Mus musculus: one gene and its partners. The main gene of each other region encodes a partner of the protein of the gene in region 7 in a complex. Links are inferred from orthologs where the notes say so. Each region holds a gene or a part of one and is shown on either strand. Other genes may lie near its edges. The genes, in order: Cdk2ap2, Mta3, Hdac2, Mta2, Hdac1, Cdk2ap1 and Chd5.

The links.
Region 1: Chd5 (region 7) and Cdk2ap2 share a complex: the UniProt entries of both Homo sapiens proteins name them as parts of the nucleosome remodeling and deacetylase (NuRD) repressor complex. The link is inferred for Mus musculus from reciprocal best matches to the Homo sapiens genes CHD5 and CDK2AP2.
Region 2: Chd5 (region 7) and Mta3 share a complex: the UniProt entries of both Homo sapiens proteins name them as parts of the nucleosome remodeling and deacetylase (NuRD) repressor complex. The link is inferred for Mus musculus from reciprocal best matches to the Homo sapiens genes CHD5 and MTA3.
Region 3: Chd5 (region 7) and Hdac2 share a complex: the UniProt entries of both Homo sapiens proteins name them as parts of the nucleosome remodeling and deacetylase (NuRD) repressor complex. The link is inferred for Mus musculus from reciprocal best matches to the Homo sapiens genes CHD5 and HDAC2.
Region 4: Chd5 (region 7) and Mta2 share a complex: the UniProt entries of both Homo sapiens proteins name them as parts of the nucleosome remodeling and deacetylase (NuRD) repressor complex. The link is inferred for Mus musculus from reciprocal best matches to the Homo sapiens genes CHD5 and MTA2.
Region 5: Chd5 (region 7) and Hdac1 share a complex: the UniProt entries of both Homo sapiens proteins name them as parts of the nucleosome remodeling and deacetylase (NuRD) repressor complex. The link is inferred for Mus musculus from reciprocal best matches to the Homo sapiens genes CHD5 and HDAC1.
Region 6: Chd5 (region 7) and Cdk2ap1 share a complex: the UniProt entries of both Homo sapiens proteins name them as parts of the nucleosome remodeling and deacetylase (NuRD) repressor complex. The link is inferred for Mus musculus from reciprocal best matches to the Homo sapiens genes CHD5 and CDK2AP1.

The regions. Positions count from the first base shown.
Region 1 is NC_000085.6:4,095,869-4,099,517, reverse strand, and holds Cdk2ap2 (cyclin-dependent kinase 2-associated protein 2), read right to left. Parts: upstream 2,168-3,649; 5' UTR 2,093-2,167; coding exon 2,011-2,092; exon of another isoform or gene 1,807-2,010; coding exon of another isoform or gene 1,785-1,806; intron 1,702-1,784; coding exon 1,601-1,701; intron 1,514-1,600; coding exon 1,381-1,513; intron 1,021-1,380; coding exon 953-1,020; 3' UTR 501-952; downstream 1-500. UniProt on the Homo sapiens protein: Acts as a component of the histone deacetylase NuRD complex which participates in the remodeling of chromatin.
Region 2 is NC_000083.6:83,786,184-83,789,683, reverse strand, and holds part of Mta3 (metastasis-associated protein MTA3), read right to left. Parts: intron 767-3,500; coding exon of another isoform or gene 764-766; coding exon 642-763; intron 1-641. UniProt on the Homo sapiens protein: Acts as a component of the histone deacetylase NuRD complex which participates in the remodeling of chromatin.
Region 3 is NC_000076.6:36,973,332-36,977,343, reverse strand, and holds the start of Hdac2 (histone deacetylase 2), read right to left. Parts: upstream 2,801-4,012; 5' UTR 2,593-2,800; coding exon 2,541-2,592; intron 2,473-2,540; exon of another isoform or gene 2,009-2,472; intron 1-2,008. UniProt on the Homo sapiens protein: Histone deacetylase that catalyzes the deacetylation of lysine residues on the N-terminal part of the core histones (H2A, H2B, H3 and H4).
Region 4 is NC_000085.6:8,940,457-8,944,719, forward strand, and holds the start of Mta2 (metastasis-associated protein MTA2), read left to right. Parts: upstream 1-1,463; 5' UTR 1,464-1,898; coding exon 1,899-1,926; exon of another isoform or gene 1,927-1,934; intron 1,935-2,016; exon of another isoform or gene 2,017-2,576; intron 2,577-3,008; coding exon 3,009-3,076; intron 3,077-3,556; coding exon 3,557-3,650; intron 3,651-4,263. Other genes in the region: Eml3 (echinoderm microtubule-associated protein-like 3), read left to right, coding at 123-221, 447-577, 674-877. UniProt on the Homo sapiens protein: May function as a transcriptional coregulator. Acts as a component of the histone deacetylase NuRD complex which participates in the remodeling of chromatin.
Region 5 is NC_000070.6:129,518,647-129,522,146, reverse strand, and holds part of Hdac1 (histone deacetylase 1), read left to right. Parts: intron 1-636; coding exon 637-729; intron 730-2,986; coding exon 2,987-3,095; intron 3,096-3,175; coding exon 3,176-3,316; intron 3,317-3,500. UniProt on the Homo sapiens protein: Histone deacetylase that catalyzes the deacetylation of lysine residues on the N-terminal part of the core histones (H2A, H2B, H3 and H4).
Region 6 is NC_000071.6:124,351,829-124,355,889, forward strand, and holds the start of Cdk2ap1 (cyclin-dependent kinase 2-associated protein 1), read right to left. Parts: upstream 2,801-4,061; 5' UTR 2,544-2,800; coding exon 2,489-2,543; intron 1-2,488. UniProt on the Homo sapiens protein: Inhibitor of cyclin-dependent kinase CDK2. Also acts as a component of the histone deacetylase NuRD complex which participates in the remodeling of chromatin.
Region 7 is NC_000070.6:152,337,191-152,341,453, forward strand, and holds the start of Chd5 (chromodomain-helicase-DNA-binding protein 5), read left to right. Parts: upstream 1-1,463; 5' UTR 1,464-1,761; coding exon 1,762-1,840; intron 1,841-4,263. UniProt on the Homo sapiens protein: ATP-dependent chromatin-remodeling factor that binds DNA through histones and regulates gene transcription. May specifically recognize and bind trimethylated 'Lys-27' (H3K27me3) and non-methylated 'Lys-4' of histone H3.

The DNA of each region.
Region 1 (3,649 bases), on a different chromosome or scaffold from region 7:
CCACACCCAGCCTTGTGGAAGTTGTCAGGACAGTGGATAGCAGCATCAAGCCAAGGTGCTGGGGGTGGGGGGGAAGGAGCCTCTAACTGCCTCCCTTAGGAGTCAGGGACCCGGTGTATTTAGAGCCTTCCAAGGATGGTTTTAAAGCGGAGCTGGTGTAGGGGCATTAGGACGTTCACGGGAGAGGCTTAAGTGAACTGGTATTTCCACCCTGCCAGGCATGCCTGCCAATCTACAGGAAGGGCCCTTTAGGCTCCGGCTGTCCAATAGTGCCTCCAGCTGTGAAGGCAGCCAAGCCCTACGCTGCCCCCTGGTGGCACCTCCTTATGCAGACATCATTGGTGTTCTGTCTGGCCTTCAGCTGCAAGGCGCAGAGCTGGAGGTAGCAATGGACAAGATGGGAAGGCAAAGCTCGGTTCAAGCGCCCTTCCCAGTTCCTGCTCTGCCCTTCCCCTCTGCCCACTCAGGCTTCCCCAGAGGAACCACACACAGAAAGGCTGAGAGAATGACTCCAAAGCATCTTTTATTTATACAAAAAGGACATATTTAGTAAAAGACACACCAAAAAAAGAGTCGGCTGTGGCCCCAGAGATGAGGCAGGAAGGTCTTCTGCACTCCTGTTGAAGAGGCAGGAGGTGGCCTGGGCTAAGAGTTAAGGAGTAAGTGCTGTGTGGTGGGGCCACAGAGAGGAGCAAGCTCCCGTCAGATCAGCACTGTGAGCAGGTCATGGAAGGGACTCCCAGTGGCCTCCCAGCACTCCCACAGAGGGAGGAGACCAGTTTGTACAGCCAACTGGACGAAGATCTGCTACCTGGTTCCTGGAGGGTGCCCACTAAGGGACACAGGACAGGAAGCCCAGGATAGGAAGCAACTTGGGGCGCGAAGGCCAGGGAGAAGCAGGCGCTCTGCAGTGGCCAGAAAGGTCCCGGCGAGGAGGTCAAGGTGCTTCCTGTTACGTGCGGGCATTGCGTTCTGTCTCTGCCAAGCACTCTCTGACTAGTGCCCGAGCGTGGATGATGCCTGGGGTGCGGTGAGGATGGGGAAGTAATAAACAGGGCCCCAGAAACAGTCCACAGCCACCCTTCAGAGCAGACACTCCCCCACCGCTCCATGGTTCAGCAAGAGCACCTCTAATCTAATGAGGATGGATGGGATTAAGGGTTGGCTAATCCGAGTTCCCAGGCACCTTCTTGGAAACAGACTCATTTGAAAATGGAAAAGTTCATTTAAAACCCCTCCTTAGGTACACGTTCTGTTCCAATCGAGGCTGGCCCAAATGTCCTGTCCTGACTCTAGATATCCTCCATCCTTACTGAACTGTCTTAAAGTTCAGTGTCTGTGTCCTGGGCAGAGCAAGGGCAGGCCTGTGGCTTCACTTACCTCTCTTCAGGCGCTCCATGGCACTCTTGCTACCAGCATAGGTGGGCCGGATCTCTTTGCCCATCTCCTCTATGACAGACAGCAGGTCCGTGTAGGTGCTCTGAGAGCCCTGGGAACCAGGTGGCTTCATCGCCTGTGTCAAAAGAAAATACAGACGTGATCTCAGACCCCGAGGGGATCTCCTGTCCTCAGCCATAAGCAAGCTCTTGGCCACACTCACCTGTACATACCCCATGGAGGGCGGACCAAAGTCGTTAAACAGCGGTCTGAAAGGTGCGGCAGCTCCTGGCACTGAGCCCGATGGCGATGGGACACTCCCGGCTGCAACGACACCAGCAAGAGGTCAGAGTGTGACAAGGGCCTCGTCACAGATTTCCAAGCCCAGGACTGTTCCCTTGACTAACCTCCAACGGCATGCTTCTTCATTCCACTCTGAACAACTTCGGAGACACACTCCTCCCCCCTGCGCTCCACCTACAAGCTCTACGTGACCACGCCCACTTCTCAGGCCAGCAAACTGAGGCTGAGCCAGGCTCGTCTAGCAGGCCCCGGATTGCAAAACTCGAGCGGTTTCTCTCCAAGACCTCGACTGCCCGGACAAGGCGAACAAGGATGGAGTTGGAGCCTCACCTGTAGGGACCGGGGTGCCTGGCCCGGGGGTGCTGGAGCCCGGGGTACTGCTGGGGGCGGGCGCGATAGGTTTGTAGGACATCCCAACTCCTCAGTGCGGCGGCCGCCAGCCGGCCGCTCCTCTGGGGTTGGCTGTCCGGCAGCTCAGCCGCACTCTGATTGGCAAGCGAGCTGCACGCCCCTGGTAAATAGAGCTCCGGCCGGAAGGGTGGGCGGGCACGATCGGTCCTCACTCTCGATTGGCGCGCTCAGCTGTCACTCGAGCCTCCTCATTGGCTGAATCTTGCCCCCGCAGGGCGCAACCGCTGCCGATTGGCCTCCACCTTCCGGACCTCGCACCTGTCTGCCCCGGATTGGGCGGTGACAGTCGTCCTCCTCAATTGGCGAGTTCGGGGCCCGGGGCCGGCGCGCTTTCAATCCGATTAGTCCCGAGGTCCAAGAGGCGGGGCCTCGGCAGCGGGCCAGTCTGGTCCCCGCGGTTTGCTCCGGTGGTGTGTGGCGGGCCGCCGAACACACTTCGTCCTCACCGCTTCGCGACTTCCCTCCGCTCAGAACTCCCAAGGCCACGGCTCCCACAGTGTGAGCACTCCGCCCTACCCCGAGCGTTTTACGTCACCTTTCACTGGTTCCGTGTCCCCCCCCCTTCGGCTGTGCGCATGTGCGCGCCTCAGGCCTGTATTTGTTCCCATGGCAACGGTTCCCTCACCAAAGTCATTACCAAGCTCCTTCTCTGGATTGGTTTGAATCTTCGGTCTAGGCAGGTGGGTCCAAGGCAGCCAACGACGCTGCTCGACACTGAACCCTAAGTCCCCTACTCTCTCCACAGACAATGATAGAGCATCATAGATCAAGAATTGCGTTAGGTCAAGTCAGGACCCTGGTCAAGACCCTTGGCTGGAATCTCAACACCTCATTAATGGTTTCCTCCTGGACTCTTTTTGGCGGGTGGGATGAGATTGAGACAAGGTCTCAAGTAGCCCAGTCAGAACTCGAACTCTCCGGGTAGGGGAGGGTGACCTTGAATTCCTGATGCTCTTGTCTCGGAAATGCTAAAGGATTACAGTCACACGCCAGTTTCTTGCCCTAATAGGTTTCCGTTTTCTCATGAAACATGAAGACAGTAATACCTGGAAAGTAAACTTGGAAGTGGGTAGAGAAATAGAGATGAGAGCCAGCCCCATATGGGTTGAAGCATGGTTGATTATTGTTCTGACGTCATTAATGAAACTCCCACCTGGGTCTGGCCATCTAGTTCCTATTTCCTTGAAATCAATTCACTTTAAAATTAAAATAAAACTATTTTATGTATACGAGTGTTTTGTCTGCATATATGTCTGCAGAACTGCTGCTTTAGCCCTCAACTCACTTTTTAAAAAAGCGACTGCAGAGATGGCTTAGCAGGTAAGAGGACAGGCTGCTCCTCCAGAGGACCCAGGTTAGAATTCTAAGCATTTACATAAAGTGCCTCAGAACCATCTGTAACTGCATTTCCAGGGGGCCCAATATCTCTTTCTGTTCTCAGTGGGCACCTAGCAAGCAGGTAGTACACAAACGTACAGTCAGAGAAAACACCCTAGACTTTTTTTTTTTTTTTTTTTCTGAGAAAGGGTCTCACTATCTAGCTCTAGCTAACCTGGAA
Region 2 (3,500 bases), on a different chromosome or scaffold from region 7:
CAAGAACCTGACCCATAGCAACAATGACAGAGAGGAGAGCCTCTGCTGTTGTTTGAGATTTAAAACATACAATGTATCGGCTGCGGGCCAGACCATCTCCATAGCCCCATACAACAGGGGCACACATAAGAACCCTGCAAGCAGAGGTGTGCACAGTAAGGCCCGAGGCCAAAAGCAAATATCATAACCTGGCCTTTCCCCACCTGGTGCCCTGGGAGCTTGAGGGCTGTAAGCTCTTATCCCCACACCTGCCTCTTCGCTACAAGTAGCAGACACATTTAATTTGTCAGAGGACATTGAGGAACTCCAAGAGGGGATTTGGTATGTATCACAGCACAAAGTGAATATAACAGCATACAGTTCAAACAAACAAACAAACCCTGCCAGCAAGCATAGATCCACAGAAGAAAACCAGAGCCAATGCACACTCACCTTAGCAAGAGCGCTCAGCCAATATCCACTGATCCCAGCGTGGGCTTGTGTGTGGGGGTGGGGGTGGGGGGGGAGCGGACACCCGCTCACTGAAGAGACGCTGCCCTGTCTCTGAGCAGCAGGCATGCTTTCTAGAACCTTCTCAGTAACCCACCCCACAGCAGAGGACAGTTCCCACACTTAGCCAGGCCTGGCCTGAGCAGACTTACCGTAGCAGCTCTCGCAGGCTCGCCCTAGGAGGGCGCTCTGGGGCTGAAACTGGGTCCCCACAGCTCCATTCACAGTGCCAGCCTTGCCGTTGCTGCTGGAGATTTGGTTGGGATTTGGTTTGCTGCTTTCAATGAAATGTAAAGTGAGATGATAAAAACAATTTGTAGGACAAGGTCAAAAGCAGGCACCTCCTTACTAATTTCCCTTCCCTGAAATACGAACAGATACTTAATCCATTTAGTGAGGAAGACAGAGACTGGGAAAAGCAGGGTGTGAAGATGCACCCAAGTATGGGAGGCAGTGAAGGGAGACAATGAAAAGGAAGTATGGTGGGAGGTGCGAACAAGGATGCTGGGATGGACCCAGGACTTTGTACACTAACCTAAAAAAAAAAATAACAACAACCGCAAACACATACACCAAACAACAACCAAAAGAAAAAGAAAAAAAAAAACAAAACAAAACGAAATACATTGGCACACATGATTCCAGGAACTTACATAAGAGGGTATATTTGGTGCAATGATAAGAAAAAAGAAACAAAATAAAACCAAGGCACTCATTTTGCAAAACAGAGCTATAAAACAGCCAGAGTCCTGTCTCAGGCACTCTGCGGCGAAGGCATGGCTCCTGTGGACACCATACCGGTGCCAATTCTCCACAGCTCGCTGTACTTTTGAAAGACAGAAGCCCCTGGGCTTTATCTTCATCAGACATTTTCCTGACAAAGACAGCCTTTGATTGGGTGTTAAGGTAAGGGCAGTGCTGTGGGGCTGGAAGAGCCCTGGCTCCTCTCCTGCTTGGGATGACGCTGTGGCCGCTACAGTGCTCCCGAGGGGGTGAGGCTAGCTTTGCAGGGCCACCCGCCACACACAGCCAAGGAGCACCTGTCCCAAGCTCGAGATAAAAATTCACATTATGTTTTCTGAGGCAGATTAGCAATTGGATGAGAAAGCTTTTGAGTTCATGTTTTAGATTTGTTTTTCCCTCTTCTGTTTTAAGAAAACACTTTCAGGGGCTGGCAAGATGGCTCAGCGGGTAAGAACACTGACTGCTCTTCGGAAGGTCCTGAGTTCAAATCCCAGCAACCACATGGTGGCTCACAACCATCTGTAATGGGATCTGATGCCCTCTGCTGGTATGTCTGAAGTCAGCTACAGTGTACTTATGTATAATAATAAATAAATCTTTGAAAAAAAAAAAGAAAACACTTTTAGGAGAAAAAAAGACATAGGTCAGGAGGCTAAGTACAAACGCATCAGAGACGCTGGTAAAACTGAATGCAGACTGGCCAGCACAGCTCTAACTCTTTAAACACATAGGCTGCACATGTCAGGGCACTTACTATGTAAACAGAGCTGACAGTAGGCTAACCCCTGCTTAGAGCTGTGCCTACAGCTGCATGCACAGTGCACACCATTCAGAAATACAGACTCACTACATAGGAAACAAAGATCTGCCCCAGAAGAGCTTCCTGCTAGTGAACCTTTCATCTCTGTTACACTGTGAGACCCCTCTCCCCAGCTCAGGACACACACATTCACAAACAAACAAACAAACAAACAAACGAAACAGGTTTTGTTGTTTGTTTAGTATTTTTGGAACAAAAAGAAGAGAAGCGGGGCTGGCACTGTAAGCCTTTAATCACAGCCTCCAGACAGTGGCAGTGGCATCGCTGTGAGTTCAAGGACAGCCTGGTCTACAAAGTGAGTTCTAGGACAGCCAGGGTTATGGAGAGAGTGAGAGAGAGCGAGAGAGAGAGAGAGAGAGCGAGCGAGCAAGAAAGAGAGAGAGAGAGAGAGAGAGAGAGAGAGAGAGAGAGAGTCTCAAAAAAGAAAAGAAAGGAAGTAGTTCAGAGAAACTCAAGTTCCCAAAGAGGTGTTAACATTTCCAGTTGAAAAGGACTCTGCCATGGACTGGCTCAAACAATGCCCCTACTCACTTAAATCTAGTGAAACGTTTCCCAGAAATGTGGAAACTTGGCATTTAAATGCAGGACTAAAGATTTGAGTCTAAGAAGGGCCAGTGCTGGGCTGGAGAGACGGCCCAGTGGTTAAGCGCACTTGCTGTTCTTGCAGACGACCTGGGTTTGATTCCCAGCACCCACACAGTGGCTCACAACCGTTCACAACTCTGATTATTATGTGTAAATAGTAACTTGAGGCAGGTCCAGGGAGGATAATGACAGGTATAAAATGTTCCAGGTTGTGAGAGACCGTGGGAGGGTGTTTTAGAGGAAGGACAGTTTCACGGAATATTTTCATAAACATTTCTTGGTGCCCACAATGCAGTGGCTTTGTGTACTGGTCAGTGTGTTCAGTGTATGCTGCACTTACATTCCTTACTCCTTTTATGATGGAACAAACTCGCAGTGGCCTCACCTAATATTGCGCCACCTTCTCTGAGCTTGGTGACTCGCAGGAACAGTCACCTAACTGTGGACCTAACCTTGACAAGCCGAGGTCAGTCACCTCCCAAACAGCACCGCTTCCAAAGCTCTTCCTAGGTCAAGCTGGTGCCATCTCTCCTCCTGAGCACCCATAGCCAGTCTCCCCATATATGCCCTGCTGCTCCCTGGATCCAAATGAAACCTGTCATCTTCAAGACCATGACTCCTCTTTCAAATTTGTCCATTCTTCAAATCATGGGTACCCATACTGCACTGCCCTGCCCCTGGGGCTGGCTGACTACTCTCTTCACACCAGGCACACCATTTTTCTCCAGGCTCCTCTATTGTGTTCGGTCCTGTCCCAGCTCAGGACACCACTCGCTGTTCAGTGCAACTGCCTGCAGCCATGTGCACTCACACTTACTTCCTCAAAGACTCTTTTTGGGGGGGGGGCATAACAAAATATTTA
Region 3 (4,012 bases), on a different chromosome or scaffold from region 7:
AGAACAACTCTGATTTCTCTTGTGAGGTTTAGGGATAGTTCATACGCTCCTATCTGAAAGTTCACAGATCAGTGGCACAGAGACCCTACAAGTACAATTCTGAAGACTGCAGCACACACGGAGAAAACCATATTCAATCTTCAGAAGTATTCTTCACTAAGCACACAGTCTTAGCAGGAAAACACTCACATGAGTTGTCAAGAGGCTCTCTGGGTGCCTAGTGCCCCGTTAACCTCCTCCTTTCCTGATCTCCTCCCCTACCAACCAAGTTAAAAGCACTAACATAAGACTAGTATACTATTCGAGCCCCAATCCTACTGGCCGGGTTCTCCACCAACCCAACCCTGCATGCGTCTGAAAGTCATGCACTTTCTTGGTACAAAAGTCACTTTACTTGCTCCTCTTGTTTAGAATTTAATAAAGACAATTAAAGATTGCTGCTACCTTTATAAACTAACAAGAAGAGGGTTTCTGTAATCAAGTCAGACGTGAAGGGAATTCTCTGCAGAGAATTCTCTGTAGTCTAGCATGCTATGACATGTTAATTAGCTTAACTATGACACCAATTTATATATCTTCAATTTTTGTTAGCGTCCCCCAAATGCAAATAGTCAGAATAAAAATAAGTTAAGTACATTCTAAAAACAAGTCAAGTAAGAACCACAGATAGATAACTCAGCAGATTTCCACCATCAATTATACAGTTGGTCACTCACAACTAGGTAAAGCAGCTGCATGGGCATAAGTCGAAAATCACATGACTGAAAAATGCCTCCCTCCACACCTTATCTCCATGACCAATGTCTATCCCACTCCTCAGCAAAGGCTCATCCCTACGCATGAAGCCAGGAAGGAGCTGTTCAAGACAGAGAGTCCTCTCTGGTTCTCCATCAGGCCTGGTGAAAGTTAATGGGACTTAGAGTTCATCACTGATGACAGAAGCTGACAGCTGAAGAGACTGAGCTGTTCCCCAACAGCTCAACCTTTCCCCTGACTCTAACAAGAGCAGGACTTTACTTTAGAAAGGCTGTAATTTCCAATGGATCAGAGAATGCAGGTCAGGGCTTTGCTATGACCCCAACGTCATAATGTAACTCATGTTTAAACCGACATGCTCTCCCATCTCTGCTCTCCATGATGGTGTAACTTCAAATAAACATGCAATACAGTTTGAGTCCTCTCAAACTTCCAATTAAGCCAGGCCATGGTGGCACATATCTTTAATCCCAGGATCTGGGAGGCAGAGGCAGGTGGATCTCTATGAGTTAGAGCCTCATTTACACAGTGAGTTTCAGGACAGCCAGGTCAACTTAGAGCCTGTCTCAAAAAACAAAACAGCCTTTTCCATTTTGGCCTAGCTTTCTGTAAGGTTTTTGGTTTTCCAGCCAATGACAGGTGGCTATTTTATTTAAAGCTTGTATTAAAAGATTCTGTCAAACCAAGAAAATGCACGACTATTTTAACAAGTTTAAGTGTTTCATTCAGCCTAGTTCTCTAATCTACCTCTCCAAACACTGTGACTTCAATACAACTACAGAAAACGCTCCCAATTTCATATTGCTTTGTGGAGATCAAGCGTTCAATCAATGAGCTTCGAAAGTTCTGTCAAATTTCCTTATTACTTCTCTCAATGGTTTATCTATTGATGTCTTGGGTGAAATCTGTATAGGCAGGGCACCATTCCATTTGGTGTAACTGAACCCAGAGACTATTACTACTTATACTCCAAATTAGAAAATCCTTACAGTCACCTTGTACCGTTCACTGCATTGTGAATATTTAGTCCACTTCTCAAAGTTTCCTGCAGCAAGGTCTTCACCACAGTAGAAGAGTTCCTAAGCAAGATGCCGGTGTTCTTTCCTAACCCCCCAGAGCAGGGTATTATAGCAGATCGAACAAAGAGCAACAAAGAAGGGGGAGGTAATAACCTCCCATAGAGACATGCCAGGACCCATCAAACAAGAACAACTGCACGCTTCCTCTCTCCTACCACTTCCCAACGACCTACCTACTTCCAACTCAAAACCCCTTAATTGTCACCGAGGAAGTGCAGCCCTTCCATTTGAACCCTGAGAAAGTGGAGCTCGAAGAACGCGAACAAAGGCGAGGGATGTAGTCCACGCAAAACACCAGCGAGACAGCGCCGCTCTGCGAACTTGGCCACCGGCCAGCAGTAACTCCTCCGCAGCCCCACCCGGGTGCCGGGGTCCCGGGTGAGGCTGGAAGCGCAGCGCGGACAGATCGGGGGCGAGAAGGGGGGACCGGGAGAGCGGGGGAGGGGACAGGGACGTGGGGCGGAGCTCCAGGACGCCAGCTTTGTGCAGTCAGGCCCAGGGTGCCAACTGGGGTTCCTCGGGAGACCGGTCAGAGGCAGTGCACCCTAAACCTGCGTGTGCCCGAGAGGACCCGAGAGGAGCGAAGGCGGGCGTCCCCGAGACGCCACCGCTGGGTAGGCCGTGTTGGTGTCCCCGCGGGCTGCCACCCCCGACACCCCGCCGCGCCCTCCCCGCATCCCGGCTGCAGGCTCCTCGGCCACTCACCATCATAGTAGTAGCACACTTTCTTCTTGCCGCCTCCTTGACTGTACGCCATGGGCTCAGGCCGCCGCCTCCCGGCTGCGGCTCCTCCTCCGGCTGCTCCCGCCCGCCGCGGCCCGGCGGCCAGACAAGAGGGCTGACGGGGACGGCCGGTGCTGCAGCCCTCGGAGCAAGGGCAGCCCGGAGCGGGACGGCGGCGGGTGCCGGGAGGGCCGTAGGGCACAGAGCGGGATAGGCAGCGGCGCCGACGCGCGACACTCGGCAGGGGTAGGCCTCCGGGCGGCGGGGCTGCGAGGCGGGAGCGACCACTGCGGCTGCGCGGAGGGGGGCACCACAACTACGGTCGGGAGGGAGCGACCGGGACGGAGTGGACGCCACCGGCCAGGGCGACAGTAGTGTTTCTACGGGTAGTCACACACAGTCCGGAGGTGCGCACAAGCGGACTTTAGCCCCTTGCTCAGAGACCCGGACGCGCAGCAGTGAGGTTCACCCCTCGGTCTTACGCGCACTGGTTGCGCCTGGGCCGAGCCTGCGCACTCCGCGCCTGCTCAAACGAATCCCGGGCAGTCTAGACCCCTCCTCCAGGGCTCATGCCGCTCCCCTCCCCCACCGCCGCGACGCTCCGGCCCGAGCCCGCCACGTGCCGCGGGGACCCCGAGGGGCCTCGGCTTGAGAGCTCCCTAGGGCTGCCTCCCCCCACACACACACCCGCTACCTGGTGGTCCGATATTCCCACGTGTTTCAATTCTCTTGTTCTCCCTCATTGGCTCCTGATAACTACTCTTGAGTTACAGAGAGGTTAATGGCAGACTCCTTGTATCTCCTGGGTTTAATAAGCATTTCCAGGACTCGGTATAAGCACTGTTCCCAGCATCCATACCTGCTCGTAATAAACACCATTTAAAGCTGTCAAAAGTGCTGGGATGTACGTGCCATGTCCATCTCCTTATAGGTGTGGGCAAAAGAAGGAGTATAGTGCTCTCAATTGCTAAATAATAGTCATCTGAGGACCGAAGGGGTGTCGAACTTTTCAAGACTCCACGTGCTTTGTCTACTTTATCAGACTGGATGTGCTTCTAGCCAGACAATTCAAAAGAATTGGTTTAAATATTGGAGTCCCTGTGTTTAATAGCCTGGCGTTTATTGTGCACCTGTCTAAACCAACCTGCTTAAAGGATGCATAAAGGATGGAAGCTGACTGTCTAATGAAATACTCACACACCTGAACTGTTATTATTTAAAATTCCAGCTACATGCACACACTACTTCCTCCCTTAAGAGGAGGTGTTGAAGTAAGAACCATACTGAGTCACTAACAAAAATCATTATTTTTCTACTTTCGGATCCCCAGGACTCTTAATACATAAAGCACCAATCTTCCAGGCTTAACCCCAAGAGACTTAGAATTACTCCAAGGTACCCCTCACCACAACCACTTCTCTCCCAAGCCTACAGTTTTAACAAGACCCTGGGAG
Region 4 (4,263 bases), on a different chromosome or scaffold from region 7:
AAGCCAAGTCAGTGAGAACTTGGGAAGCACACAGTGGGGTTCATAGTGGACGCTATGCCTATGATCAGTTCATGTCGTCAAGTGAGGGAAGAATGACGGCTGAGTAGGCGATTTCCACCTAGGGGATGTGGCTGGAGGCTGCAAACTGCTGAGGAACCGCTATGAGAGCAGAGACCGGGAGTGGGCTACCTATACCTGTGTGCTGGGCTTCCACGTCTATGGTGAGCCAGGATCTGGAATCCGTTAGGAGGGCTGGGGAAACAAGGAAGAACCCATTCTGCCCTCAGAATCCTGGGCGTGTGCCACCTCGGGGTGGGGGTCATAGTGGCAAATCCAGGCTAGGAGGCCCCTTGGGATTGTCTGGAGCGCAGTGGCAACCTGAAGACCTGAAACACTGCAACTCTAGGTTGTGGTAGCAGCCTGACTCAGGCCACCTGTTGTGTTAGGTGTGTGGCCTGATGGCTCTGATGGGACAGACATCAACTCCCTTTGCCGCTCCCACAATGAACGGGTGGTGGCTGTGGCAGACGACTTCTGCAAAGTACACCTCTTTCAGTACCCATGTGCTCGAGCCAAGGTGAGGCTTCAGGGGACCATTGGGCCCAGGTGGGTAGGTTTGGTACCCTGCCATTGCTGCAACCAGTTGTTTTTTTTTTTTTTTTCTCTCATCTAGGCGCCAAGTCGTATGTACTCAGGCCATGGCAGCCATGTGACTAGTGTCCGGTTCACGCACGACGACTCATACCTTGTCTCCTTAGGTGGCAAGGATGCTAGCATCTTTCAGTGGCGAGTGCTGGGGGCAGGGAGCTCTGGGCCCGCTCCTGCCACACCATCTAGAACGCCCTCTCTGTCCCCTGCCTCCTCCCTGGACGTGTGATTGATGCTGGATGGTCTTGTCCCTCTGGTACTGTGGTCTGGCCCCACCCTGGCCAAAACCCCTAGGACCAAGGACAGTCTTTTCCTGTGCTGGCTTTTTCTTTGACTTCATACATTCCCAATTGCGCATTTTTCTGGAGGGGCTAACCACCCCACTGCACACAAAATAACAACAGACTTGCTGGCTGAGCCAGGCAACCCAGCTCCGACACCCTCTGCTCGGTGAGGGGCAATAAAAAGAAAAAAGTAACTGCCTGGTGCTTTTGTGCGGCGGGTCCCCTCAGGGGCCCAGTTGTGTTAGGATGAAAGAAAAAAGTGCAGGGCGGGAAGAGAAAAGGGAGTTCAGACCAAATATGCAAATAACAGGCAAAGCGGCTTGCAAATAACCTCAAGAAGAGTGAGGGCGCGCGCGCGCCTTTCGACGCCACTGCCGGGGAGCTGCTAGGACCCATAGTGCAAAGAGTTAATTCCGGCTCCTCACCGCCCTCAGGGGCGGGGTCGAGCTGCAACGGAAATAACCGAGCGCGAGGCCGCGGCTGAGCGAAAGGAGCCGAGTTCCTTCCGGAAGTGGCCGATCTGCGGGGTCTTGCTCTCCGACCTGAGCCGAGCGCTGGGCCTTGTTCTCCGGATCGGCCGAAGGTGTTCCGGAAGGAGGCGAACCCGGACGCGGGCAGGGCAAACCTTGCCAGCGGTTGGCACCGCACGACGTCTGCTGGGACTCGGTGAGGACGCTAGGAGCTGGAACCTCACTCCGGTCAGGCAGGAATCGAGCTCGTTCCGGAAGAAGCCGAGTAGACCGGAGCTGGCCTCGGTGTCCCGGCGTGAGGCTATAGCAGTGTCGTCGTCGCGCGGGCAGTGATGAGCCGCGGCGGCTGAGCGAGCAGAGGTGCCGGCTGCTCGGGCCCCATCGACACTTCCGCGAAGCGTCAGCCACGCGCTGGGGGCTTCGTCTGGAGCTGAGCTTTGCCCCCGCGAGCCTCCGGGACCTCTTTGTGTGGCCGGAGGCGGCGGCGGGAACGGCCATGGCGGCTAACATGTACCGGGTGGGAGGTGAGTACCCTGAGCGGAAGAGGCTGAGGCCGGGATCAGGGAGACTCGGTGTCCGCAGGCGCGGGGGAGCCACATCTGGGGTCGTGTGGGCCGCGGCACCGACCGGAACCGGAATCAAGAGCCATGGTTCCGCGGCGGCGACGCTATCGGGCGCAGAGTCTACCGCAGAGGCTTACCTGCAGCCGTAACGGTGCTCTTGAGACCTGTGACTGGATCGCCGGGCTGGAAGTGGCCTTGGCTTTGGAAGGGGCCCGAGTGACCCACCGTCCGGCCAGCCGCGCTAGGGGCTAGGCGCGCAGGGGTTTTCTTTTCTGTGGCGGCTTGTGCGTTCGCGAAGGTGGGGCCTGAACAGTTTACTCAATTCTCCTATACAAGGATGCAACTTGAGTGCAAAGTTGTATGGACTCCAGGGAAATTCTTGTTCTTGTTTCTTAAGTCTCACTTTTGAGTGAAGATCTGACTTTAGAACTGGGTGTTGCAGGGGTAGGGGGTAAAAACTCATTTCCTTTTTCTTCTTTTTTCCTTGTTTCTTTTTAGACAAGGTTTATTCTCTGTGTAGTCTTGGCTGTCCTGGGACTCATACTGTAGACCAGGCTGTCCTCGAACTCAGAGATCCGCCTGCCTCTGCCTCCTGACTGCTGGAATTAAAGGTGTGTGACACCACTGCCTGGCAAAGTATTTCCATAATATCTCTTTTCCTTCCTTCCTTTTTTTTTTTTTTTTTTTTCTTTTTTTCTCTCTTCTCTTCCCCCACCCCCCATTTCCTTTTTGAGGCAGGTTTCCCCCTTGTTTCTTTTGAGACAAGGTTTCTCTGTGTAACCCTGGCTGTCCTGGAACTTGAGCTGTAGACTTGGCTGGCTTTGAACCAAGAGCCTGCTTTGGTCTCCCAGACTGCTGGGATTAAACGCATATGCCACCACTGTCCAGCTAATGACTAGTACTTATTTTCTTAACTCTCTCCTCTTGCTCATCTCCACTTCATCTCTATCTAGAATTTTGTCTCATTTTGGTCCACACAGAGCGACTTTTTCATCTGGGTGCCCTCTCCTCTGATCCTCTTGTTTCTTCCCCACCTCCTACAGATTACGTCTATTTTGAGAACTCCTCCAGCAATCCTTACCTGGTTAGACGGATTGAGGAGCTCAATAAGGTGAGTGGAGTTGGTTTTTTTTTTTTTTAATGATACAGGGTCTCTCTATTATGTAACCTTGGCTGCCTGGAACTTGCTGTGTAGACCAGGCTGATCTTAAACTCATGGAGACCCTTTTCATTGGTTCTGAAATTATCTTTGAGTATTAAGTCTTTACTGCTAAGTTTTTCTAGCTCTTCTACTTAGACCCTTAAGGAGATATTGCTTTTGACTCTGCGCACTTCCACTCCCCCACCTCCCCCCAGCACCTCCACTTTCTTTTGTTGTTGTTGTTGTTTTGTTTTGTTTTGAGACAGGGTTTCTCTGTGTAGCCCTGGCTGTCCTGGAACTCATTTTGTAGACCAGGCTGGCCTTGAACTCAGAAATCCGTCTGCCTCTGCCTCCCGAGTACTGGGATTAAAGGCGTGCACCACCACACCCGGCATGCATCTCCACTTTCAAATGGCCAATTTTCCTTCTCGGTTTTTCTCCCTCCTTTAGACTGCAAATGGAAATGTGGAAGCAAAGGTTGTCTGTCTTTTCCGGCGAAGGGATATTTCTAGTAGCCTCAACAGCTTGGCTGACAGTAATGCTCGTGAGTGTCTTCATTCCTTACCCATCTCCCTTCCCCAGGATCTGAGGACTAGACATGTTCCTGCAGGTGTTTCCCCTGGCAGCATGCCCAAGGGAGGGTGTGAGTTTGGGGGGGGGTGGGAAGTGCCTGGTCTGCGGAGGGAGGCCTGTTGTTACACGTTGGGGTTGGAAGCAGGGCGGGCAGACCATGATAAGGAAAGCCAAAATGAGGCTTATGTGTGTGAGTGGAGAGATATTTAGATAGGAAATGAAAAGAGCTTTAGAGAAGCAGGCACTCGGGGACATTTTGGGTACTTTGGGACAGTGGTTAGTGAGTGATGGCCAAGGTGAAGAGGAAGATACTGTTTTGAGAAGTCTGCATAACAGAGAGGCTTATGCTGTAGTCTGGAGGCGATGCCAAAACATTAATAGAGATGATAAGCTAGGAGCAGTTCTCTTGGACTTCCCTGCCTTCACCATTTTTCCTCTCCATTCCAGTTAGTGTCATTTTTACTTATTTTTGCTTTGTCTGCATTTTCTCTATGATCTTTATATTGTAATTTTTTTTCACTTAGTTTTATCTTTTTTCTTTCCTTTTTTTTTTTTTTTTTTCTTTGTCAGGGTTTCTCTGTGTA
Region 5 (3,500 bases), about 23 Mb from region 7:
TCACAGCTGGGATGCATCACACTTTTATGTGACTTGCGTTTGGAGTGAGGGATTGCGGCTCCGAGGAGTCATCTTCCCCCTTAGCACTGTGACTGAAGGCAGTGGACTCGCCCCAAAACACTCCATGAAAGCCTGAATTTTACGTGGAACAGTTAATGGACTTGGGCCCCTCCTAGGGCTGCCCCATCTGTCAGCATGAATACAGTGAGATCGGTTTGCCCTGCCAGTCGCCCTTAGGTGGGAAATGCTACTAATTAAGTTGTTTGATACCACAAACATTCGTGTAAGTCACGTTTGCTGTTAGAAGTTAACTGGAAGAAGCTCTCTTCTGTGACTTGCCCTCCACGCTTTCTAGAGAGGACAGAATAAAGGTAGAGGAGTATATAGTAAAACTCTGGGCAGAGTTGAGCGAGGTGGGTTTTACTTCTGTGACCCACCTCCCGGCGTGCTCTTAACTAGGTGATAGCAGTTTTCTCTCGGGAAAATTGAGAGACTGGGAGTCGGGCTTCCTCTGGCCTTGCAGATCTCATGGGCTCAGCTTGTCTCACAGCACCGCTGTCTTTCTCCTTAGCCTTCCAGCCCCATCTTTGAATCTCCTTCTTTTTGTCTTTCAACTTGAATGTCCCCTTTGATTAGGACATTGGGGCTGGCAAAGGCAAGTACTATGCTGTGAACTACCCACTGCGAGACGGCATTGACGACGAATCCTATGAAGCCATCTTTAAGCCAGTAAGTGCCTTGGCTCACCCCTTGGGCTGTGTTGGGATTGATGAAGGGGACGATAGCAAAGCATCTGTTATGGCCGAGAGAGAGGTGGTTCCTCCAAGTGGCTACCTGGAAAGGAAGTGTTTACAACTTTGGCTGCTGTGTGGTATCAGGAAACAACCACATAATTTGTTGCTGCCGTCTGTCTGTGAGTCTGGCCTTTTGCTCACAGTACAGTAACTTGTAAGGTCTTTGTGGGAGGTAAATTTTATGAACCCAACAGTCTGTAGTCAGTTGTGTGACAAAACTTTTTCCAAGAGTGATGTAACACACATGTCTATTCACCACACATAGGGAACACACAACTGACCAAAATACAGATCCCACCAAAACCCAGCTTAGTGAGCCACTGAGGATCAAAAACTGGGGTTACGTACAGGAGTGGTGGTATATAGGAATAGAAATAGGTATATAGGTGGTACCTATAGGAATAGAAATGTCTTAAAGATAGCTGCATCACCAAAGCCCTCCCCACAAAAGCTCACTACCCAGCCTTCAGGCAGCTCAACAGGCTACAGAGGCATTTCCGGGAGCCTGAGTTGATCTGAGCCTTTTCCAGGCAGCTCAGCATTTTCTGTTTCTTCCAGGCAGCCTGTCTAGTCTGAAACTCTTTTTTCTTTTCTTTTCTTTTCTTTTCTTTTCTTTTCTTTTCTTTTCTTTTCTTTTCTTTTCTTTTCTTTCCTTTCCTTTCCTTTCCTTTTCTTTTCTTTTACAGCTTTTACTGCTTTGTCAGGGGAAGTCCTAGTGAATCTGTTCAGTTTCAGGGATTTCCTGAAGCTATGTTGAGTTGTGTACCTTCCTGCTAAGGAGCTTCCCTGCAGGATGGAATCAGAAACACAGCACTGATGTGTTTTTTCTTTTGTTGTTGTTCGTGACCATTTAATTTAAGCAGAATATTTGGCAAAGCAGAGATTACATGAGAGAAAGATGGGAGCAGGCAGGTCTGACAGTGATGGCAGCCCTCAGTGTTCTGTGTCCCACATCGCTGGAGTTGGCCACTCAGAGATGATTTGTTCTTTTCATTATGGTCTATTTTCTGAGCTTTTCATGGTGTTTTGGTTTGGTTTTTGGTTTTTCGAGACAGGGTCTCTCTGTTTAGCCCTGGCTGTCCTGGAACTCACTCTGTAGACCAGGCTGGCCTCGAACTCAGAAATCCGCCTGCCTCTGCCTCCCGAGTGGTGGGATTAAAGGTGTGCGCCACCACGCCCGGCTCGTTTTTCATGTTTCTTAAGCCTTTTACTACTCTCCACATTTTAAGAAATTGGGGTCTATTCTAGTCTTTATAGACTAGCTTGCCTGGAAAAGCCCCCAGCTGTTTATCCTGTCCAGAGACTGGAAAGGCAGTGTGGCATGTTGTACAGCACCTGCGGTTAGAGTCCTCAGCATCCTGACCAGAGCTTGCGTTTTTACAGGGGTGCCTGGGTCCGGGAGAAGGTAGGCTGAAGTGCAGGGGCTCTCACCACTGCAGTCCTGGCCTGGGACTCATTATAGACCAGACTGGCTTCTGACACACAGAGCGTCCTGTCTCTGCCTCCTGAATGCTGTGACTAAATTGTGCCACCATGCCCGGCCTTGAGCTGGATTGGTTAATAAGTTTTGTGGTCACACAAATGCCTGCATGCGCTTAGTAGTAAAGATGACAGAAGCTCCACGTACAGCCTCCTGAGGAACAGTGTGTGCTTAGGTTTGAGAATAAAATGTACAGAACTGGGCTGGTGAGATGGCTCAGTGGGTAAGAGCACCCGACTGCTCTTTCGAAGGTCCAGAGTTCAAATCCCAGCAACCACATGGTGGCTCACAACCATCCCTAACGAGATCTGACTCCCTCTTCTGGAGTGTCTGAAGACAGCTACAGTGTACTTACATATAATAAATAAATAAAATAAAAAAGTAAAAAAAAAAAAAAAATGTACAGAACTAGATGACCTATAGGGACAGAGGAGTGGAGCAGATGCAGCGAGAGGTTGGGAGGTCTCTGAAAGGAAGCAACTTGGGAGGTCGGCAGTTATAAAAAGGGAAAGAGGAGGGAGTTGACAGACCAATCAAAGCTCAGTTGTGCGAGTTGTGATAATCTTTACTTTAAAGTCAGAAACCTCTTGTCTACCACACAGTATCGGGGAAATAAAAGGAAAAAAAAAAAGCTGGACCTCTTTCTACCTCTGGACCTCACATGCTTTTTTTGAGATTGGTCATAACCAAGGTGTATCTTTTTATTTTTTAGGTCATGTCCAAAGTAATGGAGATGTTCCAGCCTAGTGCAGTGGTCTTACAGTGTGGCTCAGATTCCCTGTCTGGGGACCGGTTAGGTTGCTTCAATCTGACCATCAAAGGTGAGTCCAGGTAGCATGCACATAGGTGGACAGGGTCTGCCAGGTTCCCCTGTAAACCAACATCCCTTTTCCTTCCAAAGGACACGCCAAGTGTGTGGAGTTCGTGAAGAGTTTCAACTTGCCCATGCTGATGCTGGGAGGAGGTGGCTACACCATCCGGAATGTTGCTCGCTGCTGGACTTACGAAACAGCGGTGGCCCTGGACACAGAGATCCCTAATGGTATTAGCTCCAGGGCCAGGTTAGGCTGGGTGGGGGCTGGATGTCACCTGCCTTCATTTACAACTTTTCCATTTGCCCCTAGCCTTTCATACTTTCCACCGAGGTTCCTGCCTGTTATCTTGTGGCAGGCAAATCGTAGCCTCAGTTTTTCCGTAGTCTTGTGTTCTCCCCATGGTGTTGGTCA
Region 6 (4,061 bases), on a different chromosome or scaffold from region 7:
TTTTCTCCAGGACTTGGGGGTCTGTCCCAGCAGTGCCACTTGGCTGTAGGACCAGCCAAGGCTCTTCCAGGCCTCAGTTTCTCTACTTGTTTGAGGCCATATTTCCCAATGGAAGGGTTAAAGGCTTTGGGAATGCCCTTAGAGGAGTGGGGATACAGAAAGAATGAGAAGTACCCCCCATACTGGTGGAGGACCTCAAGCCTATTTTCCACCACCCCGGAGGAGTGGAGATAAACCTGACTTTGCGTCAAAGCCAGCACCATATGCAGTATTAGGGAAGGTGTCTGTCTCCCCCACCCCCCGGGAGGGATTCAGGGTGGAAGGGGGCTCCTCCGCCCATCATGCCCCCTTCTTCCGGAAGACACCGGCACCTGGGCTGAAGGAGGCCAGGGAGGCGGTTCCACGTCAGCTCAGCCGGTGTGGAGCATCTCAGACAATGAGCGCAGTGTGAGAGAGCTGAGAGGGCTTGGCAGAGGCCAGGAAGCTCCTGGGGCCAGGCTCAGCTCCCCGCCCCCATGCCAGACAAAGAGCGGCCTGGGCCTGGGGAGCTGGCGGCCTTCCCGCCACTTGGGGCGCCCTGGGGGGGGGGGGCTCTCGGGCGGGGGAAGGCGGGGGCTTTGTCTAACTCCGCCACTGCCACTGCCGGCCAGGCCGCAGCTTGGCAACTCAGTGAGCAGGAGGCAGGCCTGGAGGGCGTGAGAGATGATGACAGGGAAGGCGGAGGAGCCACTGTGAGAGTCCATCTTGGATGCAGATGGCAGGGGAGAGAAGGGCTTTCTGCAAAGTAATACCGGCAAGCGGGCGGGCCCCCACCAAAATGCCGAACACCTGGAGACCCCCGCACGCATCCTGGCATTCCCCATTGGCAAAATAACTACAGCTGAATACAGGTGCTAGCAAGCCCAGAACAGGGCTTCAGAGTCCCAGGGGCGGTCTGCACTGGGACCCACACCCCAAAAGGTCCCCAGTGTAAGACACACGGGAAACTAGCCCAGATCAAGCCTACGTCTCTGGTCTCCCTAGGGCTGGCAACGCAACCTACTGCCCTTCCATCCCAAACACTGACCAAGAAGACTGAGAGGCAAAAATCATATCTGACGACAAATCCTGTCACCCAAAGGGAGTGAAACCATTTGAAAAGATACAGTGACTGCATGCTCTTGGGGGGGGGGGGTCTTTGTGCCCACGTGCTAGCGTTTCAACTCTCCCAGGCTGGCACCCTAAATCTCAACCTTTTCCAAACCCCAAAGAGCAGAGAAGTGGTTTAAAACACACGTCCAGAGCTTTTCCAGGTCCCTCTGAGGGTTTCTGGAGTTCTGGAATCAACATTTGGACACAAGACCTCCAACTTGGAAGTGCCAACGCGGGTGGGATTTTTAACACACAGCGACCATAACCAACTTCTACCCCCAACTCCTCCCAAAGGCCTTATCCCTCCTGGTCCCCACTACTTGGCATCTGTTGGGGCATCAGACTACTTGGGGTGGTCTGCTCACAGCCAAATGTCTGGGAGGAGAGGGTACTGGAATTGGACACAAAGCCAGTCACCTCTGGAAGTCAGTTTCACATCCCTATTCCGGGTTCCCTTGGGGTCCGGGGCTAGCCCCCAGCCACAGCCCAAAGCTGCCTGGGAACTTTGCAAGAGTTTCCTCGGCGGCGCCCAGGCCCGGAGGGGAAGGGAGACCAGGTCCACTTGGCTTGCGCAGCGCGGCCCTGCGGGGACGTCCCCACGTGGGAGATCTGAGATGGGGACCCCCGGGACCGGCGAGCCGCAGCATGCCGCCCACAGAACCCACGAGGCCGGGGCACTGCAACTTCTTCCAAGGGGTCTCCCGAGGGCCGGGGGAAGGAACCCGGGAGTCGCTCTCATCGCCAGGAAGCGGCCCCTGCCCACCGGGCCCGCCGCCCGGAACCCTGGCCAGATTCCCTCCCGGGCCCGCGGCCGCCCTGCACCCGGCTCGGCCCCAGCCTGTCCCGCTCCGCCGACCCTCCGAGCCCCGCTCCTTGCTCACTGCGTCGCCCGCCTCCCGCCGGCAGGGGCCCTCGCCGAGCCGCCCAAAAAGCCTAAGGGAAGGGGAAAGAAAAAGGGGGGGAGCTGGGGGGGGGGAGCCTTCCTCGCTCGGCTGCCCGCGTCCTCGCTTCCCCGCCATCCGCGGCCGCCCCGCCGCTCACACCGGGAGCCCCCGGCCGCTGCCCCGCCGAGCTCCGGGCGCACCGCGAACTTTGGCAGCGCAGCGGAGGCGGCGGAATCATGGCGGCGGCGGCGCGGCTGAGTCGGCGGCGGTGGCGTTCCCGCTGCCCCGGCCCGGGACACCTCCTTCCCTCCGCCCCGTTCCCTCGCGCCACCATCCTCGGCCAGCACGCCCGCCCAAGGCACCGCGCGCCTCCGGGGAGCCCCGGGCCGCGGCCCGGAGCGCGAGCCCCCAACTTGGCGACACTTGCGGCGCGGGGCGGCGCGCGCGGCCCGCGCTCGCTCGCTCTCACTCACCGGCGTTGAGGGCGGCGGCGGGCATGTGCGCGGTCAAGTTCGGCTTGTACGACATCCCCGCGGGCGGCGGGCGCGCCGGGCAGAGCCGGGCCAGGCCGCGAGCGCGCCGGCGAGGCCGAGGCCGAGGCCCGGGCCGGGCGGCCCCACGTCCCCGCAGCCGTCCGAGCGCCCGCCGGGAGCCCGCGCACTTTTTGTTGTCGCCGGCTCGGGCCGCGCCGGCAAATATGGCCGTCCCTCACCCTGCCGCCGCCGCCGCCGCCGCCGCCGCAGTAGATCACCCATACATCGGGCGCGCGGCGCAGGGGCGGCCGCAAACTTTGAGCCCAGCCGGTCGGTGCTGGGCCGGGGCCGGACCGGGAGGGGGCGGCGGGCGTCGAGGGGGCGGCTCCTCTCGCGGCCGCGCCCCGCGCTGCGCCGCCGCCCGCAACTTGCCAAAGTTTGGGGGGCTGCGGTCCCCGCGGCGCCCCCGCCGCGCCCCGGCCTCCCGCGCGCCGCTCATTGGCCCGCGCCTTCCTCTTTTCTTAAACAGCCAGGGAGGATGGAAGAAGTACTTTTTTTTTTCCTTCTTCTTCTTCTCAGTGTCTCTTGACTGTGGGGGCAGGGATGGAAAATTACCTGGAGAAAATGGTGGCGATTGGGGTGATTTGGTTTTGGTTTTTTTGGGTTTCTTTTTCTTTTTGGTTTTGGTTTTTTTTGTTGTTTTTTGTTTTTTTGTTTTTTTTTTAATTCACGGAAATCATTCCAGATGCCCACGTCTGGCTCTATCCCAGAATTAGAATAACCCATTCTTGACATTTATTTCGAGACGGGGAAAAAAAAAATGTCATGTCTCTGCTTGGATTAAGTGAGTTTGTTTTTTTTTTTTTTTAACCCTTTGGGAACCCAAGACGCCTTTGAGACTGACAAAAGCTGGATGGAGAGACAACGACACCTCCACTAGAAAATTCGCTCTTGCATCCGTCATGACGTTTGTCACACGAACTCTTTGGAATATTTCAACCGAGCACCTACTGTGTGCCCGACACGGTTTTTATAGGCTAAGGAGGCAAGAGTGAACTTGGCAAAGTTTCGACTCCCCGGAGTTTGCACTCCATTTTTTTTTTTTTTTTTGGACCCCTCTTCCCCTCCCCACCCCACCCTATCCCGCCCCACACACGCCCCCGCCCATCTCTAAACTGACTGAAACGTCACAACCAAACGTATTTGGGATGTGATGAATAACCTTCCAAAGGTACTATATTTTGGAGTTCTGCCTGCATAGTAATGCTCATCACATTACATAAAACGCCCACCTTTTTCTGTTGTTTTTAATCGCCATGGTTTGCAGGTTTTTTTTTTTTTTAATTAGTCATATTTAGACATCATCTGTGGATCTGGTGACAACGGCGTCAGCCTCTCCGCTAGAGAAAAAAAGGGGACCACCACCGGGGTCTTAATCCCCCCTTCTTTGGGACGAAAGGTGCAGAAGAGGGGACCTCCTCTTCCACCCTCCCCCACCACCACCAGCAGCACCCTTAGGCTCCTTCTGGCAAACTGCTTCCTGGTGACATTTTTCTCTTATAAAGAAACAAAT
Region 7 (4,263 bases):
TTGAAAAGGCTTAATGTTCAACAACAGAAGTCTTAGGGGCTGGTAATGGAGAGTGGGCATATTCGATTGAGTTTGGGATTTTCTTTCCTGGACTCTTAGTGGTCATGGAGACAAGTGATCTGGAGAGAGCCAGCAAGCCCTCCCAGGGAGGATGCAACTCAAGCCTCAGCAGTCGGAGGCTCCCCCTGGCAGCAGACAGCCCAGGAACCATTTGGATCCTTAGCCACCTTCCTCCTGCTAGCTGGTCTTTCTGCCTTGTGCAGGGGACATTTACTGTCCAGGGAAGTGTAAAAGTGATCTGTGGTACAGAGGGAGAGTCCTAGTGTCCTGCCTGTCCATCTTGGGAGGCTGGGCAGCCACGTCAAGAGGTCATGTCATGAGGATACTCAAACCGGCACAGATTCATACGGTTCCCCAAAGGTGCTAAGACCGGGAAATCCCTTCTGGTGACAGCTCTAGACACTAGAAGCTGTGGGTCTGTAATGCCTGAATGCTCAGCTCAGGCCTGTGTTCCTACCCTCTCAGGTCACGCAGGACCTGTCTCTGCTGGTGGCAGTGAGGTACACTCCCTCGGCGTGTAGCCAGAAGCACGACATGAGGATGACTCGGACTTTACAGGACTTTGTGGGATTGGAGAGCTGGTGACCCCACAACTTCTGTGCTCTTAAAGTTGCTGTGAGACCTTGGCTGCACCAGGCTGAACGCTCTCATTTAAAATTCTAGTCTTGCTCCCCAGGGCTCCAGCATCCAGCTTCACCTCTAACAAGCAGGACTGGCTGGCAGTCGCCAACCCTTCTGCTAGGCGACAGGTGTCCTGAGTGGCAGTCCAGGGCACAGACCATACAGAGCTCCAGGGACCTGGATGTGTTTGAGCTGGACACAGACCAATTTTGGAAAGAGGGCAAGTGTTGGGGGCGGGGGGTGGGTGGGTGGGTGGGTGGGTGGGTGAGAAGCCATGGATTTTTCTGGATAAATTATGCCCACGGTCACCAGAGTGACCCATAAGTGTGGGACACATTTTCTTGGACTTCTCTTTTGAAAGGGGTTTGGAAACGTGGTAGCCTGAAAACGAGGTGGGGTAAGTCCGCTGTGTAAAAGGCTAGTGGGCAGCTTCTGGCTCACCACCCATCCTGACTCTCAGGCCCAAGTGCCTTCGCGGGCAGGGTGGCGACCGCTGGCCCTGTCTGGGGTGTGCGCAGGGGGGTACCACTTGGATTCTCCCTGCGCCTGGGCTATCGAGCTCCCGCAGCCAGCTCGGCCGTCGTGTCCCGGGTCGGGCGGGCACCTCGACAGCTCCTGGCACCCGCCCCCCCCCCCACTGCGCGCTCACTGAGCTGCCCAAGACTAGTCCCCCCAACTTGTTCTCGGCTGTTAACTAGTCGCGCTGGCGTAACGATGGGATGGGGTTGCCACAGCAACCAGACTGGACGTCACAATCCGGGCATGTGTGCCGCCCCCCCGCCGTGCCGCCGTGCCGCGGGCGCTGCCGCCGCCACCCTCGGCCGGCTGCGGGACTCGCGCTGCGGGGCGCGGTGGGCGGAGCGGCCCGGGCTTGGCGGGTGCGGGCAGAGGCGGCCTAGAGCTTGCGGGGTCGAAACGGGGGGGTGGAGGTTTGGGGGGCTGGGGGGGCCGGCGGCCGCCATCTTCTTGCCGAGACCGCCTCGCCCGCCGCGCGGGTCCGTCCGGCAGCGCACGGGTTAAGGCTGGCACCGCGCCCGGCGGGAGGGGGGCGCCCACCTTCCTTCCCCCCCCGCGCCGGGCATGCGGGGCCCGCTGGGCACCGAGGAGGAGCTGCCGCGGCTGTTCGCGGAGGAGATGGAGAACGAGGAGGAGATGTCAGGTGAGGGGGCGCGGGGACCTGCTGGCCCGGGACGCGGGAGGGGCGCGAGGCTGCGGGCTGCGCTCCCGCCCTGCTGGCGCCGCGCTAGCCAAGGGCGCGGGGCCGGGCGAGCTCCCGGGCGCGGCGCGCGGGGCGGGGTGCACTGGGACCCCCGGGCAAAGCCGTGGTGGGGGCCTGCGCGGGCTGCGGAGCGGGAGGGGGCGCGGCGAGCCGGGGTCAGCCGCGTGCCCTTGAAGGCGGCGGGAAGCGCGCGCCGCGGGCGGGGCGAGGACGGGCCGCGCGTGGGGAGCTGGCGATGCCCGAGCCGGGGAGCGCGGGCTCGGCTCCCGGCGCCTGACAGTCGCTCCCCAGCACTTTGCCCAGGCCGCCCTGGGTTCTTTGCGCCCTGGTGCCCGCCGGGTTCCCAGCCCACCCTGCTTCCCTGTCTGTGGGCCTGACGCCCCAGGGCCACCGCCCCTGCCCTTGCCAGCTGCGGCTCAGAATTCAGCCTCCTTCGTGTTTGTGCCTCAGGGGTTACCTTGCAGGATTTTTCAGTTAACTGCGCCCGTCCTGGCAGGGCCTCACCCTGTCACCTGCCCTCCCTCCCTTCTGAGGGGTATCACTTCTTAGCTTCCCAAGTCCATGGCTCCTCCTGGACTTCTGAGGGACTTGTGAGAGGCCAGAAGGGCCTCCTTCTCCCAGGAATCTACATCCCTGAGGACGAGGCTATTTCACACACTCGCACCCAGGAGAGAGCAGCATCTCCCAGCCTAGCATCTCACCAGGGGCCACACCCCCTGCCCTCAGGCACCTCTTGTGCTGGCCAGCTTGTTTGTTTAGTGGATTTAACGCTGTCGCAGGAGCCTGCTGCTCAAACCCTCCCCTTTCATCCAGGCCTTCCACGGGGTGAGGTGTGCAGGGGTATGGTTTCTAGTGGCTGACTGCTCAAGCCCAGGCTGAAGCAGCCAGACCCTTTCTCTCTGAGAGGAAGGCGGCGGTCAAGCGCGTTGAGAAACCTGTGGCTGTTTTCTACTTAGCAGCCTGACTCTTCAAAGATCCCTGGTGGTGATTGGGGCGTGGCCTTTTGTGGCATTGACAGGGACGATGTGCAGCTGACTGTGGGTCAACAGGCCCATTTCTAGGTCTTCCATTACACCGCCAGTGTCCCCTTCTTCTTCCAGCCTGGCCTTGCTTGCATCAGGGTTTAGGGCTTGGTGAGGTCTTGGATGTCCTCAGAAAGGTGCACACACAAGGCTGTTGGGGTTGGATCTTGGTTCAGTTCTTATGCCTAATCTGCCTTTCCCCTCCTGAGCAGGCAGGGGTATTGTCCCTTGGGGACAATCAAGTCCCTTCAGGAGCACTTCCAAGGCCATACAGAGGAGACACTTGGCTTCTGTCTCTCTAGCTGGGAATTCTGAGCCCTGTCCATCAACCACTCCGACTACTTTGCCTCCGGAGCCTCCAGGATCCTAGGCTAGCATCTTTCCAGGTCTCTGGTCTAAGTTTCTGTCCCCCCCCCCCCAGTCCCCCAACCATAGACTCCCTCCAGGACTTCCTAGCCATTGGTCAATGACCCTTCTTTTCTTAGACCCAGCCCATTGGTCCATCTGGTCTTCCCACTGCCGCTTCTCCCCACACAGCCTCACTGGGCTCCAACTCCTGATGCCTGATAGTATTGCTATGGAACCCAGCAGGTGCCATCTTGTCCCGGGGCCCTGGCTTTGACCTTTACCCGACTCCTGTCCTTGGCTCACAAGTTTGTTCTGTCTATGTAGATTCCAGCTGCATTGCATGATGGGACACCGCTTTCCTCCTCACCACAGACTCTCTGGCCCATTGGAGGGGTTATTTGCTCTGGACCCTCTGTCAGTACCCCCAAGCGGAGTCCCTAACTGCAATCTGGACGGAGGGTACCCGAGAAATGGTGCCTAATCGTGAGAAGGAGTCTCTAGGGCATCTCTGGTGCCCTGAATGTGGGAACCTGCTAGCCCAGTCAAGTCTGTCAGCAGTGTTGGCTGCCTCCCCGCTAGGCTAGCTGCCTCTCAGGGCCCTCTTCCGCGTGGTGGGAGGAGCTCCAGGAAAGTGACCTCGTAGCCCCGCCCCCCCGGCCAGATGGGAGGAGCCAGTGTTCCGGAAGCCTCACACTAAGGCCCAACCAGCAGCAGTTGGACTTGGGTTTGAGGGAGTCTGTGCACTGTTTCCTACAGGGGGCTTTGCTTTGGCCAGCCCTCTCCAGTTCTGTGGTGGGTGGGTGGGACTGCTGTGAGGAACAGAGTCAGGGAGGCTCAGAGGTGTGCAGCTGCCAGATTCCCAGAGGAGTGTGCTGCTCAGAGGGAGGACTTGGACTTGGATGGATGGAGGAGGCCTTAAGTCCCAGCAATGTTCTGGTTAGTCCGGTGGTGTTGGGACCAGCCCCTCAGCCCCTCTGCCTCAGTGTCCCTCAC